Linked DNA regions of Arabidopsis thaliana. The protein of the gene in region 2 interacts with the protein of the main gene of each other region in a biochemical or structural test. Each region holds a gene or a part of one and is shown on either strand. Other genes may lie near its edges.

What was found. Proteins that work in one complex are often made in the same cells at the same time.
Region 1: the proteins of SYP42 (region 2) and VPS45 form a complex in vitro, tested with the Arabidopsis thaliana proteins (one study listed by BioGRID).

What each region holds. Positions count from the first base shown.
Region 1 is NC_003070.9:28,980,410-28,990,030, reverse strand, and holds VPS45 (vacuolar protein sorting 45), read right to left. Parts: upstream 6,098-9,621; 5' UTR 5,869-6,097; coding exon 5,779-5,868; intron 5,643-5,778; coding exon 5,441-5,642; intron 5,347-5,440; coding exon 5,267-5,346; intron 4,990-5,266; coding exon 4,762-4,989; intron 4,635-4,761; coding exon 4,509-4,634; intron 4,399-4,508; coding exon 4,315-4,398; intron 4,245-4,314; coding exon 4,103-4,244; intron 3,999-4,102; coding exon 3,820-3,998; intron 3,603-3,819; coding exon 3,447-3,602; intron 3,209-3,446; coding exon 3,101-3,208; intron 3,016-3,100; coding exon 2,894-3,015; intron 2,773-2,893; coding exon 2,641-2,772; intron 2,411-2,640; coding exon 2,350-2,410; 3' UTR 1,996-2,349; downstream 1-1,995. Other genes in the region: PGSIP2 (plant glycogenin-like starch initiation protein 2), read left to right, coding at 8,803-8,855, 9,085-9,621. UniProt on the Arabidopsis thaliana protein: Involved in the protein transport to the vacuole, probably at the level of vesicle fusion at the trans-Golgi network (TGN) and not in transport from the TGN to the prevacuolar compartment, by promoting the recycling of vacuolar sorting receptors back to the TGN.
Region 2 is NC_003075.7:968,339-976,143, reverse strand, and holds SYP42 (syntaxin of plants 42), read left to right. Parts: upstream 1-3,801; 5' UTR 3,802-3,951; coding exon 3,952-4,142; intron 4,143-4,312; coding exon 4,313-4,589; intron 4,590-4,902; coding exon 4,903-4,992; intron 4,993-5,100; coding exon 5,101-5,181; intron 5,182-5,428; coding exon 5,429-5,506; intron 5,507-5,590; coding exon 5,591-5,656; intron 5,657-5,763; coding exon 5,764-5,844; intron 5,845-5,937; coding exon 5,938-6,045; 3' UTR 6,046-6,150; downstream 6,151-7,805. Other genes in the region: AT4G02210 (Myb/SANT-like DNA-binding domain protein), read left to right, coding at 227-556, 638-731, 839-1,257, 1,348-1,824; AT4G02200 (Drought-responsive family protein), read right to left, coding at 1,941-2,058, 2,154-2,386, 2,537-2,614, 2,844-2,885, 2,947-3,080, 3,287-3,368; AT4G02190 (Cysteine/Histidine-rich C1 domain family protein), read right to left, coding at 6,793-7,805. UniProt on the Arabidopsis thaliana protein: Contributes to the regulation of secretory and vacuolar transport pathways in the post-Golgi network, and to the maintenance of the Golgi apparatus and trans-Golgi network (TGN) morphologies.

The DNA.
Region 1 (9,621 bases), on a different chromosome or scaffold from region 2:
AATGTTGGGCTTGTTGTGTCAGGTTTTTTTCTGATGCTATCTATATTGCATCTTCTACTTGTATCAATAGCCGATGGATTACTCTATAATATGTATTTTTGTCGTGATGCAAATTTCCATTTAAGTGAGACGGTAAACTAAAGCTCTTTTGGTTTAAGATTATACTATTTGATTATGGTGGATAATACATTTGATACGAAGACTACTTCTTTGAAGATGCTGAATTAGATAAATACATTTTTATTCATTTTGAATGTTTATCTCCTATATATGGACCATGGTTATATTTTGGTTTAAGGTTGACATGTATTGTAGTCCTAAAGATTTAGATGAATTGTAGAACAACATTTTCTAAAAGAACAACATAGAGAGTTTAATTAACATGTGAGTTGAAAACTAAAACGACAGAATTTAATAGTCGAATAATCGAAATTTTAGTACTAGAGACTCTTATGTAGAGTGTTTTTTTAGCGACAAAAAAAGAGTGTTTAAAAAAAAAACGGTTATAACGTTACAAAAAACTGATTTGAATATAATATAATAGTGTATAATGAACCTTTTTTATAAGTAACATGAATGTTACTGAATATACAAAATTACAAATTAACATAATTCATGAAAAGTAAAAGTGATATATTAGATTCACTATAATTAGATCAGTGAAAAACATTCAATATTTTCTTAAAAAGTTAAACTTCCTTTTTTTTTGTAGTAAATTTTTCTTTCAGAAATCAAAAGAATTTGATTTAAATGCTCAACCTCTAAAACCCTCCAGCACTGACTTTTCATGAAAGTTGGGATGACAAATTTTCCAATTTAGCATGAATTGCATATTTGCATTCGTTGTTGAAAATGTAACCAATTGGTAATTTTCTTACGAATATCTAAAATCAGAATCATATGATAAGAACGATGAGGTGTATATATAAGACCACAGACAAAATATCTAAAGTTAAAACTGTAATTAATTAATAACCAAACCATCACTTTCAACCATATGTACTTTGATAAGTAATCTCTCCTTCTTCTTTTTTGTCTTATCTATTTCGTCACGCTTTATTCTTTCGAATTTAAATCCGTGGTAGTTTGCTAGAAACTTCGGCTAAGCACACAGTAATCAAAATTCAAAAAGTCAGATAACTAATTAACTAAGAAATTATGCATTATCTAGTTAACTTAAAAATTATATACGTAATCGAATTGAATAAATAATAAATAAAGAGAGGAGACAATTTAGATGAAGGGATCGAAGAAACAGAGAAGGATCTAGTATAGTCAATAGTTTTAAAATTTGATATGAAATGGACAGTCAGAGACTGCTTAAGAGCTAAGCAGAAAGAAAGAGATGTATGTGAAGAACTTTTCTCGAGCTCCTCAATTCTTTAATTGTTTTTATTACTGATTTGACGTTTTAATAAAACTATAGCAAAAATTACCGCAAGACGAATATTTCTCAAGAATGAGACTTTTGCTAGTTGACTTCAAACAATTTTAACCCCTCAAAATCCAACTTGATAGAGGATTAAATTGCACATAATCGCTTTGTTAAAAGTATGAAATTTGGATGTAAAAGTAAACCTAATGATTTTTTTGGAATGTATAGTAAATATATACTATTATGTTGTAATGGAGGGTTTCTGTGAAGTGTGTATGTGTGAAAGAACAACAAGTAAAAATGCTTCCAGAGCAGAGACAGAGAGTTGTGTCAGCTTCGCTCTCACATCATATTACGACATTTGAGAAATCCAACGGCGACAGTAGCCGAGCTACATAAGATACTCCATATATACTCAAAAGAGCTCTGTTTTTATGTTTTCTCTTTGATTGTTCTCTTTCCCAAATCGGTACTTACTTTTGATTGACGTCAGTCAGATTTTACTCATTACTAATTTACTATTATAAAAGTGATTTTATTCATTATTATAAAAGGGAGTAGTAAACTAGTAATATTTCAAAAATTCCACATATGATTTTGTTTTTTAAGAGTAATAAAGATTTTTTGTTATGAAATCTCTCTGGTTTTTGTCTAAAGTGTTATTATAATTTTGAAAAAGATTATTAATTCTGTTTTGTGCAATTATGATAGAGGAGTAAAATTTCCTCAGGTTACATTTTCTTGATTAGCCATAATTGTGTAAGAAGAACGGTCCAATTAAACTGTACCACGATGAATACACACACAAACCCCAAAAATTAAATCTCTGGTGGGGTAATCATCATCATGTATACGAAAGATTCGACGAACCTGACCACAATCTTCTTCTTTCATTTGTCTCTTTCTTCTATGTGCTCCCCGGAAGAATCTTAAGACTTAAAAAATAATTTACACAAAATTCTTTTGGATCTTCTTCACACCATATGGCTACCTGATCTTGATATCCTTTGTGCTTCTTCCAAGTCCTTTAGAAATCTGTCACAACCAAATTCACTTTTCAGCTTACATTTCTCTTATAATACACTTTCATGAACTTTGTAGACCAATTTAGATTCCTAGTTATTATTTAATTCAAACAGCAATTTCGGTTTGGGCCTTCTATGACTTAACCAATGTTGATATTTTAGTTGATCAGTGCTGTTTCGACCTAGAACTCAAAACCAATCGAGGCTCATTTGCACACACTGTCTTAACCTCAGCATTACCTCTTGGAATTAAGCACTGCGGTGCCGCCGAGAATAAACCGAACCCCGGAGTTGGTGGCATTCTGTAGAGCAACAGAGCGTGATTCCTCGTATGTTGTTCCACCAACCATAAAAATAACCACCTCTTGTGGCCTGTTTATCCAGAAATTTTGCAGTTTTTGATTAGTTATGTAAGTTTTCACGAATTGCAGAAATCTGTAACTATCAAACAAGTTACCTGTTTTAAGAAATTGAAAAAATTAGAGGCACATACCGTCCCTGTTGAAAATGATCTCCAACAAATGGGTAATCCACATCTCGTAATCTCCCTCTAGTTATGCTCTCCATTGTTTGAAACAGAAGAGGCTGATGTTGAGTGTAGACATTCTCAACACCCTGTATTTTTCAAGATGTCAGTAACATGACATATATATAGGGAGATATAGAATGTTGCTGGAGACGAGTTAACTCAGATACAGACCTTAAGTCCACGAGCCATGTTACGTGCTATATTCAAAAGATCTCTGTTTCCAAATAGATCACCAGTGCGCTTCTCCACACCGGCTTGTTTCAAGAGAAATTGAACTAGCTGCAGTTGCATGGCAACCAGAAAGTTATAACATGATTTGAGGGTACTTTTATCAAGTTATTCAAAAATAAAAACGAAAAGGTAAAACTACTATGGACGGAATTGCAGATAGGTTAACAAGTATAGTAGTAGCAGAGGGACAGATCAAAATCAACCTTAAAAGAGATGCAGAATAATAAAGCCACAAGAAAGAGATGCAATTTAAACTGAAAGGAAACAGATGATAGTCTGACTGTACCCCTGGTTTGTACTTGGGAGACCGTGAAGCCAATTTGTTGAACAATTGCATCAACTGAACAGGATTTTCTTTCTCATAGCGCAAAGCATATAGCATTACCAAACGCAGCCGGTCGATGTCAGACACACTTTCATTATTTAAGAGATCCGTAACTGCCTGCAAATAAGCATGAATAGAGAGTCAGAGCTCCGTGCTTACAGCAGAGTCTGCACAATTTTGCATATTTCGCTAACTTCTGCAGGTTCACTGGATTACATTCGCATGAGACTCCAAATTATTGAATGCCAAATTATTCAGTAAGAACTTCTGCAGGTTGTAGCTATTTTTTAATATATGCGACTACAAGTGAATGTTCACCACAGATATTCACTACCTCATATGCAGCTCCTTGGCCACCATTGCAAGCCAAGTCCTGCTCTGTTTGTGAAACCGTCATCAGTTTCCTTGCTTCAACTAGCTTGCTCATTTCAGTAACCAGAGTTACATGCTTTGAAACGTTGCCTTGCATCTTTTTGTACTCAGGGTAGTTGTCAACAAATCTGGCCATATCCTCTGTACAACCAACGAATTCACAGATATATAATTGTCACTAGCACGAGAATCTGTTGTTACAAAAGTTTTTGCAGAGAATAGTTTAAGACTAGCCATATTTGTACCTACTGTCTGGATATTTTGGTTACTCTTGGCCACCTGCTGAAAGTCATCTACCATTCGCTTGATGTTCATTCCAATATCCCCAAAATTTTCATACATGTTAGATTTGAAAAATGCATCTTGTTCTGATGATAAAACCACCTCCTGCCAGGATAAGAGACATATTAGCTGTAAGGTTCTCAACTAAAAAACAATGGCATTGGAGAAAACTAACCACTTGCTGATCTTTTGGAAGACTTCCAATGGATTTCAAGTCCACTTTATTATCTTGAAGTCCTATGAGTTCGTGCACCATTGCCTACAGAAAATCTCGTTAATTAGTAAGTCGTAGTCTTACAAAAAAGCAAGACAGCGGGAGGCACATCTTATATCATAGAGTAGCACAATAATTTTGTTTAGTCAAGTTACCTGATATGTCCACTGATTCAGCAATGGGGTAACCGGGTCATCTCTTCTGTCAATTACAAGTAGCAACGGAGAGCTTTCAGTCCGTCTAAAGTCAAAAAGAGCGCTTTCATGCTGATACATCAATTTCTGAAACATAAACAGCGAATTTTCAGACTATTGGATAGACACAAGTGGGAATTAGTTCCATCACATGCATGCAAAATATAGCGGGAACAAATAACTTTACGAGAGCTTGTCAAACAACTTCACTTACAGCTGTTTCGTGTGCAATCCTTTTTGCAGTATCAGAGGTCCTCTGATATCTGATGACAGGTCTTCGTTTCAACGCCAGAAACACTGCCGCAATTCCATCAACAACCCGATCGGAAAAGCGTTGCAAACCAGAGGGATCGACAACTGCGGGGATCATATATAGATGATTTGATGCCATATTCAATGTGAAATGATATGGATCACCAGAAACAAAGTCTGCATAATACTCCTGCAATATAAAAAACCACAAAGACTATGTTAAACAAGCCATTATACAGTACTATGCCGAGTGCACCAAGCAATATAAGTTTAAATCAGAAAACTAAAGACAGGTAGGGGGGATACTAAGCTCCACAAGTATGGCCGTTTCATCACAAACCAAGCAACTTCTCAGAGACAGCTAAAAATCTATACATATATTGATCCATCATATAGGCTATGAAACATTCTTTTAGCATTAGCCTCCTATTCAAAAACATCATGGATGAGGGAAGTCTAAAAATCACCTGAACTTGCTGTACAACTTCCTGCTCATCGGAATCAGCCAAAATATGAATCTGAGTATCCTTCAACAGATTGGAGAAAACTGAAAGAATTCATAACAAAAACAACATCAAATTTTGTATATTGTGAGTGAACAATGATAAACTCGAAATAGTTAGAAGATGAAAAAATCATACATAAATGGTATTCTCCAAATCTAGGATTCGCAAGCTGGTATCGTAATTTCTGAATATTATCTGAAGTTGGACGGATGAAATAAACAGCTTTCAGATGTGACATCGATTCTTTTGACACAGATATTGAATCTATCATCTCCACCAGAAACACTTCTTTCTGAAGCAGCTCTGACTGTGAATACACAATGCTTACATTGCTAACCTGCAAATTCAACAATTAATCCAATAAACAAGTAATCACGAAGATGTGTTTCCGGTTACAAGGGAAATTATGAACCACGATTCCAGAAACAAATCAGAGAAGATTAGCAATCGAAGAAGACGAGATCGGACTTTACCGTTTCGGAGTCGAGTATGAGAACCTTCATGCCGGAGATGTCCTGAAGCATCCGGTTAATGTAATCACGCACAGACGTAACCAAAACCATCGTTTCACCGCAAAATTCTGCTACTGTTACGACGTTGATTCAGATCTACGGCGACTAATCTGATGATTCTTGTTAACAATAACGCTGGCGAAGTGATTTCGCGTTCACTTTCAGATCTTCCTTTCCTTAATCGAGAAAACTAAAAGGTCCCCAGACTCGTCGACTCATACGAAGAAAAGTGTTTTTGCAAAACAAACCCTATATTTTATTGGTTATTCCTCTTTTCAACACAAACTTAATTTTTGATTAACTGAACCTAATTTGAGGGTTTATTTATTAAGTAATAAAACATCAGGGTTTTACAAAGGAAACATCTAATAGATCAGGATTTTTCCGCAAAAAAATTCAAACTTAACATTGACCCATCGTGTTGATTTTGTTCCGATCCGTCCGCTAATATAATATAATTTGGATTAGCGTCAAAAACGTGTGATTATTGTAATGCTCGATGCATCCAGCTTCATGTAGTCTCTCACTCAGGAAAGTCAAACTTAATATTCTTACAGTGAGAATGAAGCTCTCTTCTGAAAGTCCCATGGCGCCGTCAAGTCAGTCAAGTCATCGACTTTACATTTCCAGGTAAGTCTTTTTCTCTTCTACTTCATCAGTTTCTTGAGTTCAATGGAAACTACTTTACCTAACTTAGGGGAATCAGATAGGATCATAGATCATGAGAGCAATGTGGTTGAGTATGTGCATTACAGAGATCTGTATTCATCTGTTGGCTTGACATAGTGCATTTGTTTTACATATATAGTGAGAAAACAAAAACGAAGAGATTCCAAAGAAACGGATACACTCTCGATGTTGAAATGTGTGTCAACTTCTCTAGTCTGAAACTTGTTTTGTTTCTTATGATGCTGGTTGCTATGTTCACACTCTACTGTTCTCCACCGTTGCAAATTCCTGAAGATCCATCAAGTTTTGCAAACAAATGGATACTAGAACCTGCTGTAACCACAGATCCTCGCTATATAGCTACATCTGAGATCAACTGGAACAGTATGTCACTTGTTGTTGAGCATTACTTATCTGGCAGAAGCGAGTATCAAGGAATTGGCTTTCTAAATCTCAACGATAACGAGATTAATCGATGGCAGGTGGTCATAAAATCTCACTGTCAGCATATAGCTTTGCATCTAGACCATGCTGCAAGTAACATAACTTGGAAATCTTTATACCCGGAATGGATTGACGAGGAAGAAAAATTCAAAGTCCCCACTTGTCCTTCTCTTCCTTGGATTCAAGTTCCTGACAAGTCTCGAATCGATCTTATCATTGCCAAGCTCCCATGTAACAAGTCAGGAAAATGGTCAAGAGATGTGGCTAGATTGCACTTACAACTTGCAGCAGCTCGAGTGGCGGCATCTTCTGAAGGGCTTCATGATGTTCATGTGATTTTGGTATCAGATTGCTTTCCAATACCGAATCTTTTTACGGGTCAAGAACTTGTTGCCCGTCAAGGAAACATATGGCTGTATAAGCCTAAACTTCACCAGTTAAGACAAAAGTTACAACTTCCTGTTGGTTCCTGTGAACTTTCTGTTCCTCTTCAAGCTAAAGGTCAGTGACTCAGTAGTAAGTTTCTTCGTCTTTTGTATCAGCTAAATTTGACATCTCTATTCTCTCCTCCTAAGCTGATTATGATTCAATTGCAGATAATTTCTACTCGGCAAATGCCAAGAAAGAAGCGTACGCGACGATCTTGCACTCAGATGATGCTTTTGTCTGTGGAGCCATTGCAGTAGCACAGAGCATTCGAATGTCAGGCTCTACTCGCAATTTGGTAATACTAGTCGATGATTCGATCAGTGAATACCATAGAAGTGGCTTGGAATCAGCTGGATGGAAGATTCACACATTTCAAAGAATCAGAAACCCGAAAGCTGAAGCAAATGCATATAACCAATGGAACTACAGCAAATTCCGTCTTTGGGAATTGACAGAATACAACAAGATCATCTTCATTGATGCAGACATGCTTATCCTCAGAAACATGGATTTCCTCTTCGAGTACCCCGAAATCTCCACAACTGGAAACGACGGTACGCTCTTCAACTCCGGTCTAATGGTGATTGAACCATCAAATTCAACATTCCAGTTACTAATGGATCACATCAACGATATCAATTCCTACAATGGAGGAGACCAAGGTTACCTTAACGAGATATTCACATGGTGGCATCGGATTCCAAAACACATGAATTTCTTGAAGCATTTCTGGGAAGGAGACACACCTAAGCACAGGAAATCTAAGACGAGACTATTTGGAGCTGATCCTCCGATACTCTACGTTCTTCATTACCTAGGTTACAACAAACCATGGGTATGCTTCAGAGACTACGATTGCAATTGGAATGTCGTTGGATACCATCAATTCGCGAGCGATGAAGCACACAAAACTTGGTGGAGAGTGCACGACGCGATGCCTAAGAAATTGCAGAGGTTTTGTCTACTGAGTTCGAAACAAAAGGCGCAACTTGAGTGGGATCGGAGACAAGCTGAGAAAGCGAATTACAGAGACGGACATTGGAGGATTAAGATCAAAGATAAGAGACTTACGACTTGTTTTGAAGATTTCTGTTTCTGGGAGAGTATGCTTTGGCATTGGGGTGAGACTCAGACCAACTCCACCGTCGCTGCTGATTCTTCCTCCACCGCGTAAAACCGTACTACTGTGTGTGATTTTCGTTTTCTGGTTAAAATTTATTCAAACATTAGAGTAGGGGTTAAAATAACAAATACCTGATAAGTAAAGGTTCGTTTTGCAAAACACGGACTTCTAAAAATCTCATTTTCCTAATACGCACCGTTTTGTGCCTTGGTCCAAAATCAAATTAATTTCTCCTTCCCAAATCCCTAAAATGTCTCGTCTTTTGTTGTTTACCAGGCGATTATGAAATTCTCGAAACCGACCCTGGTCTTACGGAGACGATGATACCTTCCTCAAGTCCCATGGAGTCAAGACATCGACTCTCGTTCTCAAAGTTAGTCTTCGTCTTCTTCTTCTTATTCTTCATTAGTTTCTCTAGTTTCATGAACACTACGTACTATTCTTAGTTAACTTAGTAGCTTCACACACATGGTTGACTTTTCTGGAAATCAGATCTTCGATTTTGTTTTTGATTCAGAAATGTGTTTCACAAGCGATCTATGTTTATCTATCTGTTGGATTGACATAGATAATGACTCATTCGTTTGTTTTGTTGTGTGTAGTGAGAAGACAAGTAGGAGGAGATTTCAAAGAATTGAGAAGGGTGTCAAGTTCAACACTCTGAAACTTGTGTTGATTTGTATAATGCTTGGAGCTTTGTTCACGATCTACCGTTTTCGTTATCCACCGCTACAAATTCCTGAAATTCCAACTAGTTTTGGTCTTACTACTGATCCTCGCTATGTAGCTACAGCTGAGATCAACTGGAACCATATGTCAAATCTTGTTGAGAAGCACGTATTTGGTAGAAGCGAGTATCAAGGAATTGGTCTTATAAATCTTAACGATAACGAGATTGATCGATTCAAGGAGGTAACGAAATCTGACTGTGATCATGTAGCTTTGCATCTAGATTATGCTGCAAAGAACATAACATGGGAATCTTTATACCCGGAATGGATTGATGAAGTTGAAGAATTCGAAGTCCCTACTTGTCCTTCTCTGCCTTTGATTCAAATTCCTGGCAAGCCTCGGATTGATCTTGTAATTGCCAAGCTTCCGTGTGATAAATCAGGAAAATGGTCTAGAGATGTGGCTCG
Region 2 (7,805 bases):
ATCCTTAAAATCTCACCGGTACTCCAACTCCCGTTCACCGGAGCTCTGACTCTCTGTAAGCGAAGATTCTCTGCTCTTTAGCTAATTTAGTCGAATCTCTATTATGGGTCTGATCCAGTTTCTTACGAGAATCTGATTTCTGATTTTATAACTTGATTTCTCGATTTCAAATTTGTGTTCTTGCAATCGATTTTTTTGCAGGTAAAGAAGAAGGGAGAAATAGATAATGAGCAGTAGAAACGGCAATGAGAGATTAAGAACAGTGTGGACACCTGAAATGGATCAGTATTTCATCGAGCTTATGGTGGAACAAGTTAGAAAAGGCAACAGATTTGAAGATCATTTGTTTAGTAAACGAGCTTGGAAGTTCATGTCTTGTTCCTTCACTGCCAAGTTCAAGTTTCTTTATGGCAAAGATGTTTTGAAAAACAGGCATAAGACATTGAGGAACTTGTTTAAATCTGTGAATAATCTTTTGATAGAAGATGGTTTTAGTTGGGATGATACTAGACAGATGGTTGTTGCTGATAACTGCGTTTGGGATGAGTATCTTAAGGTGCGTTTTGCGTTTTGTTTACTTGTGATTTTGTGTCTTCTTCTCAGGGATTGATTTGTTTTTGCTTTTGGGTTATTGAAGATTCATCCTGATTCGAGATCTTTTCGGATAAAGTCTATACCTTGTTACAAAGATCTGTGCTTGGTTTACTCAGATGGAATGTCTGAGCACAAAGGTACAATCTTTAATCTATTGATTGTTACTTGAATCCTTCATTGTACATTCTTGTCACCAAAGATCAAAGATTCTTAAGTAACCTGTGAATGAATATGTATGTTTCAGCTGAGGAGAGTATTAGTGAGGGAGAATCCAAGACACTGATTCAGGAAGATGATGGGTACAACAGAATATGTGAATCGTCAACAGTCAGGTCTAACTCAAAAGGAAGCAGTGTCACACGGTGCAGGACTACTTGGCATCCTCCAATGGACCGGTATTTCATTGATCTGATGTTGGACCAAGCGAGGAGAGGAAACCAGATTGAAGGTGTTTTCAGGAAACAAGCATGGACTGAGATGGTTAATCTCTTCAATGCGAAATTTGAGTCTAACTTTGATGTTGATGTGTTGAAGAACCGGTATAAGTCTCTGAGAAGACAGTTCAACGCGATCAAGAGTATTCTTCGATCAGATGGGTTTGCTTGGGATAATGAGCGTCAAATGGTTACAGCTGATAATAATGTATGGCAAGACTATATAAAGGTAACTTAATCGCTCTGATCTATGCTGTGTGGTTAGTTACAGTGTTTTCGTCTCTGTTTTGATGTGTGTTCTTGTCTGAATTAATCACAGGCTCATAGAGATGCAAGGCAATTTATGACTCGGCCAATTCCGTACTATAAAGATCTGTGTGTGCTCTGTGGCGATTCTGGGATCGAAGAAAACGAATGCTTTGTAGCTATGGATTGGTTTGACCCTGAAACTGAATTCCAAGAATTTAAGTCCAGTGGTACTACAGATTTGTCTATTTCAGCTGAGGAAGAAGATAGCAACTCTCTTTTGTTTGACCCCAAGAACAAAAGAGATCAACTTGCTAATACTGATACAAGCCCTATAAACCCGAAAAAGCCTCGAGTTGATGAAACCCAAACCATGTCAATAGAGGACACGGTTGAGGCTATTCAAGCGTTACCAGACATGGACGATGAACTTATATTGGATGCTTGTGATCTGCTTGAAGATAAACTCAAGGCGAAAACTTTCTTGGCTCTAGATGTGAAACTACGCAAGAAGTGGTTGTTAAGGAAACTCCGACCTCAAGTGACTTGAGGATTATGAGCTGTAAAGAAGCAAAGTAGAAGTTTGACGATAAACAGAAGCTCATTGGCTTATACTACAGAGTACAGACTACTTTGCGAGAGTTTCATATACAAAGACTTATGCTCTTAGAAGTTGTAAATGTGATCAAATATGGCTGATGATATTAAACCTTGTACAAACTCTCTCTTCTTTGCCTTCTCTAGTAGCTCTGTATCTGACAAGGGAGACGGCGATTCCCAGTCTCTGAGCACACAGAAATACGAAATGTATCTTTAGACAAGGTTTAAGAAGATGAGATAAAGCAAGCAGAATCAAGAAAATGTCAAAGAATTACTTACTTTTCTGTTGAATCCCTTATTAAGCTATTGTCTTCCATGCTTGCTTCACTAGATGAATCAGGTTGTACAAGCTTGGACTTCTTTGGTGACGGCGGATTGTATATAAATGATAATAATGGGTCCAGAACACTTTTAGATGTATGATTAGTAGACAACGGCTCATCGATTAGAGACTGTAAGTATTTCCTAGTCCCTGGAGAAAATGCTGAATATGACTCATCCTTGTAAAGTCTCTGCTTTTGTTCAAGGTAAGTATTCGTCAAGGAACACAAATGTCAGATAACCGATATAAAACATACCAAGATATAGAATAAGCACAAAAAGACTTACAAGTTTTCTACTAAATGGTAACGAAAGCAAGAAGAGTAAATAAAAAAGGATACCTTGAAGACATCTCTATGCTGAGTGGTAATGTGATCAACCATATGCATCTTCACTCGTCTGCTACAAACCGGACATATCTACATCACAACCAAAGCTGAATTTGTGAGAAGTTATTACATTCATCATCACCAAAAGACTGTTTTCATTTCTCACACCAAACACTTCACAACTACAAAATGGTTCCTCATAGCATCAAGCAAATAATCCAAGTGAACTAAAATCCAAGAAGTCCCTACCAACTCTCCTTACAGAATCACAATCCTGCCTACTAAAGTAACCATTAGAGTACAACAATGAACATCACACGATAAATAGTCTAAATTTACAACTAACTGCTTCATGTAAAAACTCAAATGTATAGTTTAAAGAACAGTAACTGATTTGGGAGATGGATACGAGTTGCAATTACCCCATTGTTGGCGTCTAGTTGATGCTCCTCATCGATATGGTGACACAATTCAACTAAATCATAATCATCTGAGCAAAACGGGCATGGATAATCCACTGCCATTTCATCATCATCTTCAAACTCAATACATGAACCTAAACAAAAATTTCACCATCACAAAACTTTTATCAATTACATAACATAAAGTTTACCCATAAAGTGACAAAATTTAAACTCACTAGACCTTAAGGGCCAAAAGAATTGAAATTTGATAAAGAAATTAAAACCACCTGCATATAAAGCATAAACCCTAAAACAAAGCTAAATGCAATTGGGAAAAAGAATGGATCTTTACACTAACCCGACTGATACTTGGCAAGTTCTTCTAATCGATATTTCTTCGACGAATCAAACCCACAAATGCCCAACAAATCTTCTTCCATTTTGATTCTGAATCCACACGAACTTGAATTGAAAAATCTCAGATAATAATTAAAGGAGCATATTCTTCCTCCGTGTATTTATTAGCATCTGTCAGTACTTTGTTCAGCCTGAAAGTGCGAGGAAACACACCAAAAAGGCAAGACCTTTAAATGTGGTCTTTTTCTCTGGCGACATGAGGGAATCCATGGACACGAATCTATTGAGCTAAATCCAATGACCAAACTACCCCTAACCGGTCACTATAGCCTCTTTTACCCTGAACCACCAACGTCCCTCTGTTGACTTTTAGCCGCCACGAATCTACGGGCATTTTCGTCTTTGCGCCACCGTCTTAAAACGTGTGCTCCACACACTTATATTGACCCTATCGCGCAAGTGGACTATAAGCCCAATATATAAATGGGCCTAAAAAGGCCCAAATACTTCTCCTTCGTTGCTAAGTCTGTAACACGCGCTAATGAGAAACGATTTTGCGATTCAGATTCGTTTGCTTTTGCCGACGACAAAAGCTCCGATTTTGTTTATTTTCTCCGGGAAATTTTACTTTCGAGATTCTGTTGAGAATCAATTGATTTGGTATTGATGGCGACGAGGAATCGAACGACGGTGTACCGGAAACACAGGGATGCGTGTAAGAGCGCGCGTGCTCCATTATCTTTATCGGCGTCTGATTCGTTCGGTGGTCCGGTGATCGAAATGGTTAGCGGTTCATTTTCCCGGTCCAATCACTCCTCTTATGCTCCTTTGAATTCCTATGATCCTGGTCCATCAAGGTAATAATATAATGTGTTGTTTGATTCTGCAAAACCTGGGAAATTCTATGAACTTATATATAGAAACGAATTGTAATCATGGGATTGATTTGAGATACAGAATTAGAACCCTAAACGAATTAGGTAACAGAATGAGCAAATGATTTAAGTGTTGTTGTGAATGTTTGCAGTAGTGATGCCTTCACAATTGGTATGCCACCAGCTTGGGTTGATGATTCTGAGGAGATAACTTTTAATATACAAAAGGTGCGAGACAAAATGAATGAACTAGCAAAGGCACATTCAAAGGCTCTTATGCCTACATTTGGAGATAACAAAGGGATTCATCGTGAAGTCGAGATGCTCACTCATGAGATCACAGATTTGTTGAGGAAGTCAGAAAAGAGATTGCAGATGTTATCTACTAGAGGGCCTTCTGAAGAATCAAATCTCAGGAAAAATGTGCAGGTAGGTTGTTGGACACTTTTTCAGAATCGAGCTTGTTAACAATAAAGAATGCATGGTCATTACCTTTTCTTTTGTGCTTTTAGAGAAGAAAGTTAGGAATTTTGGGTTAAATCACTCTCATATGTTTTGACTACCTATCTAGTTGACATTATCAGTCAGCAAAATGTATGAAGTGTTTTTTTTTCCCTCTATATAATGTACTTTGGGTTATTCTATGTTTTGAGTTTGTAGCATGAGGATAAAGTTCTGTGTACATGTATAGTGGGGCTCTCCAATGGACTTGACCTACTTTTTGGCATACTGCTTTTGACAGCGTTCTCTTGCAACAGATCTTCAGAACCTTTCCATGGAGCTCCGCAGAAAACAGTCTACTTACTTAAAACGTCTGCAGCAGCAGAAAGAGGTATGTTTCCTTTATTTTCAAGAAATAAACAAAAAAAGTGTTGATTCTTGAGACATGCATGTACCGTAATATGATGTTCTTATTTGTATTTGGCTTCTCTAATCATAGGGTCAGGATGAAGTAGATTTAGAGTTTAATGTGAATGGAAAGATGTCGAGACTGGATGAAGAGGATGAACTTGGTGGGATGGTAAGTGCTTACTTGTATTGTAAAACTATATATCATTGACAAATTAATAAGGACTTAATATGGTTATCTAGCTAGAGCAATTCAGATTTTTAATCAGTTATCCTTGTCTTCCTTACATTTTTAAGAAACACTTCTTATGGTTATCATGCTAGGACGAGTCAGATTTTTTTTAATCAATCTTCAGAACCTTGTCGTCCTTACTCTGCCAATACCATAATGAGAATCGCTGGTCTTCAATAAATTGTAGGGTTTCGATGAACACCAGACAATCAAGTTGAAGGAAGGGCAACATGTCTCAGCGGAAAGGGAACGAGAGATACAACAGGTAATGGAAGTTGTTACTCGACCATATTTAAGAAGCTGCGTGCTTCACATTTTCGATGGCGATTAACTTCAGAGTTCTGTCTAGGTTCTGGGTTCCGTGAATGACCTTGCACAGATAATGAAAGACTTATCAGCCCTTGTGATTGACCAGGTGCCTAGCTTAGTCATTAAAAGGCTTATGAATTACATAACTGGCTAGATACAAAGTTTTTGCTGGCTTCTCAACAATTAGTTTTCTTATATTCTTGTATCAATTAGGGCACGATTGTTGATCGGATAGACTACAATGTCCAAAACGTTTCTACATCGGTCGAGGAAGGCTATAAACAACTACAAAAGGTTTGATTCTTTACCCAAAACTCATAAGATTTTGTGAGTACTACAGATTTTTCACCGTATGGAACTCACAAAGACATTTCAATTTTTAAATAGGCGGAGAGAACACAAAGAGAAGGAGCAATGGTGAAATGTGCAACTATACTCCTTGTACTCTGTTTGATCATGATTGTTCTTTTAATTCTTAAGAATATTTTGTTTTAGTCATATGCCAACAATTTAGAATGAAAAACAGCTTGTCTTGTTTGTAACAAACAGTAACCCTCTCTTTTTTCTAGTTGAATTCTCTTTTCCAATCGTTTTACCAAATCTGTAGAAGTATTTTGTGTAAACCGTAAATGGTTAAAATCACTATAGTTAAGAAATAAACTGACACTAAACTACCTAGTGGGAAAATGTGATAATCACTACAAGAATCACTAGTCCTCCAAATTCAATAACACATGAAGGAAATCAAGTAATCAACTCATAATGAAAAATTGAAAATGATCTTTTTGTGCAAGGGAGAAAAAAATAAAACAAAAACGAATGCGTTGGCTTCACACACTTTAGATTAGCAAACCTAGACATATAAACTCATAGAGAAACTCGTGACAAGTTGTTTTGAGGCTCATGTTAAACAAAATTTTGTGACACTCGTGCAAGACGATGATCGTCCTCTTGAACTAGAACAATGAGCCGAGAGTACTCCTCTCAGTGCTATGCAAACACAAGCTCTTTGGGTAACTAGGGTTACCTCTTTTTGTTTTTTTATTGATTTTCTTAAAACAAAAGACTGAAGAACAAATACTCGATACAACTCTATTTATACTCAAAGACTCGATTCCTCCTTGGACCAGGATTCAACGGAAAACCTTAACGAAAAATAAAGGAAAAATATTCAAACGACCCTAATAATTTCTTGAACACAGAAAAACGTGTGTGACACACAAAGCCCAAAACTAAACATCATCAGTCTCTCTTTGTAAAACGCTTTATGCAAATATCAGAGCAAAGATAAGAAACTGAGGTTTCAGGTATCTTATAGATGATAGGGTACATGCAATGCGACTTACACTGCCTGCAAAACGGGCGAGATACATTCTTGTTGAGCACAACCTCATATGATCCCGTCTCAGCCTTTACTACGCTTCCTGGCATGAGCCCTGAAAAGTCTCCGACTACACACTCTGTGTGCAAACTAGCCCATTGATCTTTACATGTGTAGAACCATTTCTCTGGATTCATTTTTTTCTCACAAATCTCACACCAATATATACCATTTGCCTTTTCGCCATAGCATAGTAAGAGAGGATAATCGTCAACTCTATGCTTTAACACTCGCGGTAAAGTGGCGCATTTGAAGCATAAGACAAATCCACAACCATCTTCAATGCACCTGAGCATTCTAGTTCCCGACATGTTACAACCATTGCAGACTTCTTCCATCTCTGGTGAAATGTAATATAAGGGATGATCGGGATGACTTGGATGGACAAATGGCTCCAACACTGAACAACATATGACATCTAATTTCATATCCCCATATTGGTAACTGAAACCATTGGAGATTCTACCACAAACATTACACCAAAAGTGACCAGCCTCGCGTGTAAATAAAGTAAGCCGTTCATTGTGTAGCACATGTCGTTTCCTTTTAGGAAATTTAGCACAGTTTTGGTGAAGAATGAAGTCACAATCCATACAACCATAGAAGGATTCGAGGCAAACGGAATGGGTGCATGCGCTGCACCGCTTGTTTTCATCACATAAAACACCATTGTCGTCGAGTTTTAGGTAATGCTCTTCGTGGCTGAAATGTTGTATTGTGTTGTCATCTATTACCACATACGGCTCTATATCTTCTGTTTCTTCAATAACTCCTTCGAGTTCTTTCCCGTTCCACACATCTTTTCTTGTAGCACATTTGGAATGAACGACATAGTTAGAACACCTTTGACAAGAATAACCTCCCCAAGTCCAAT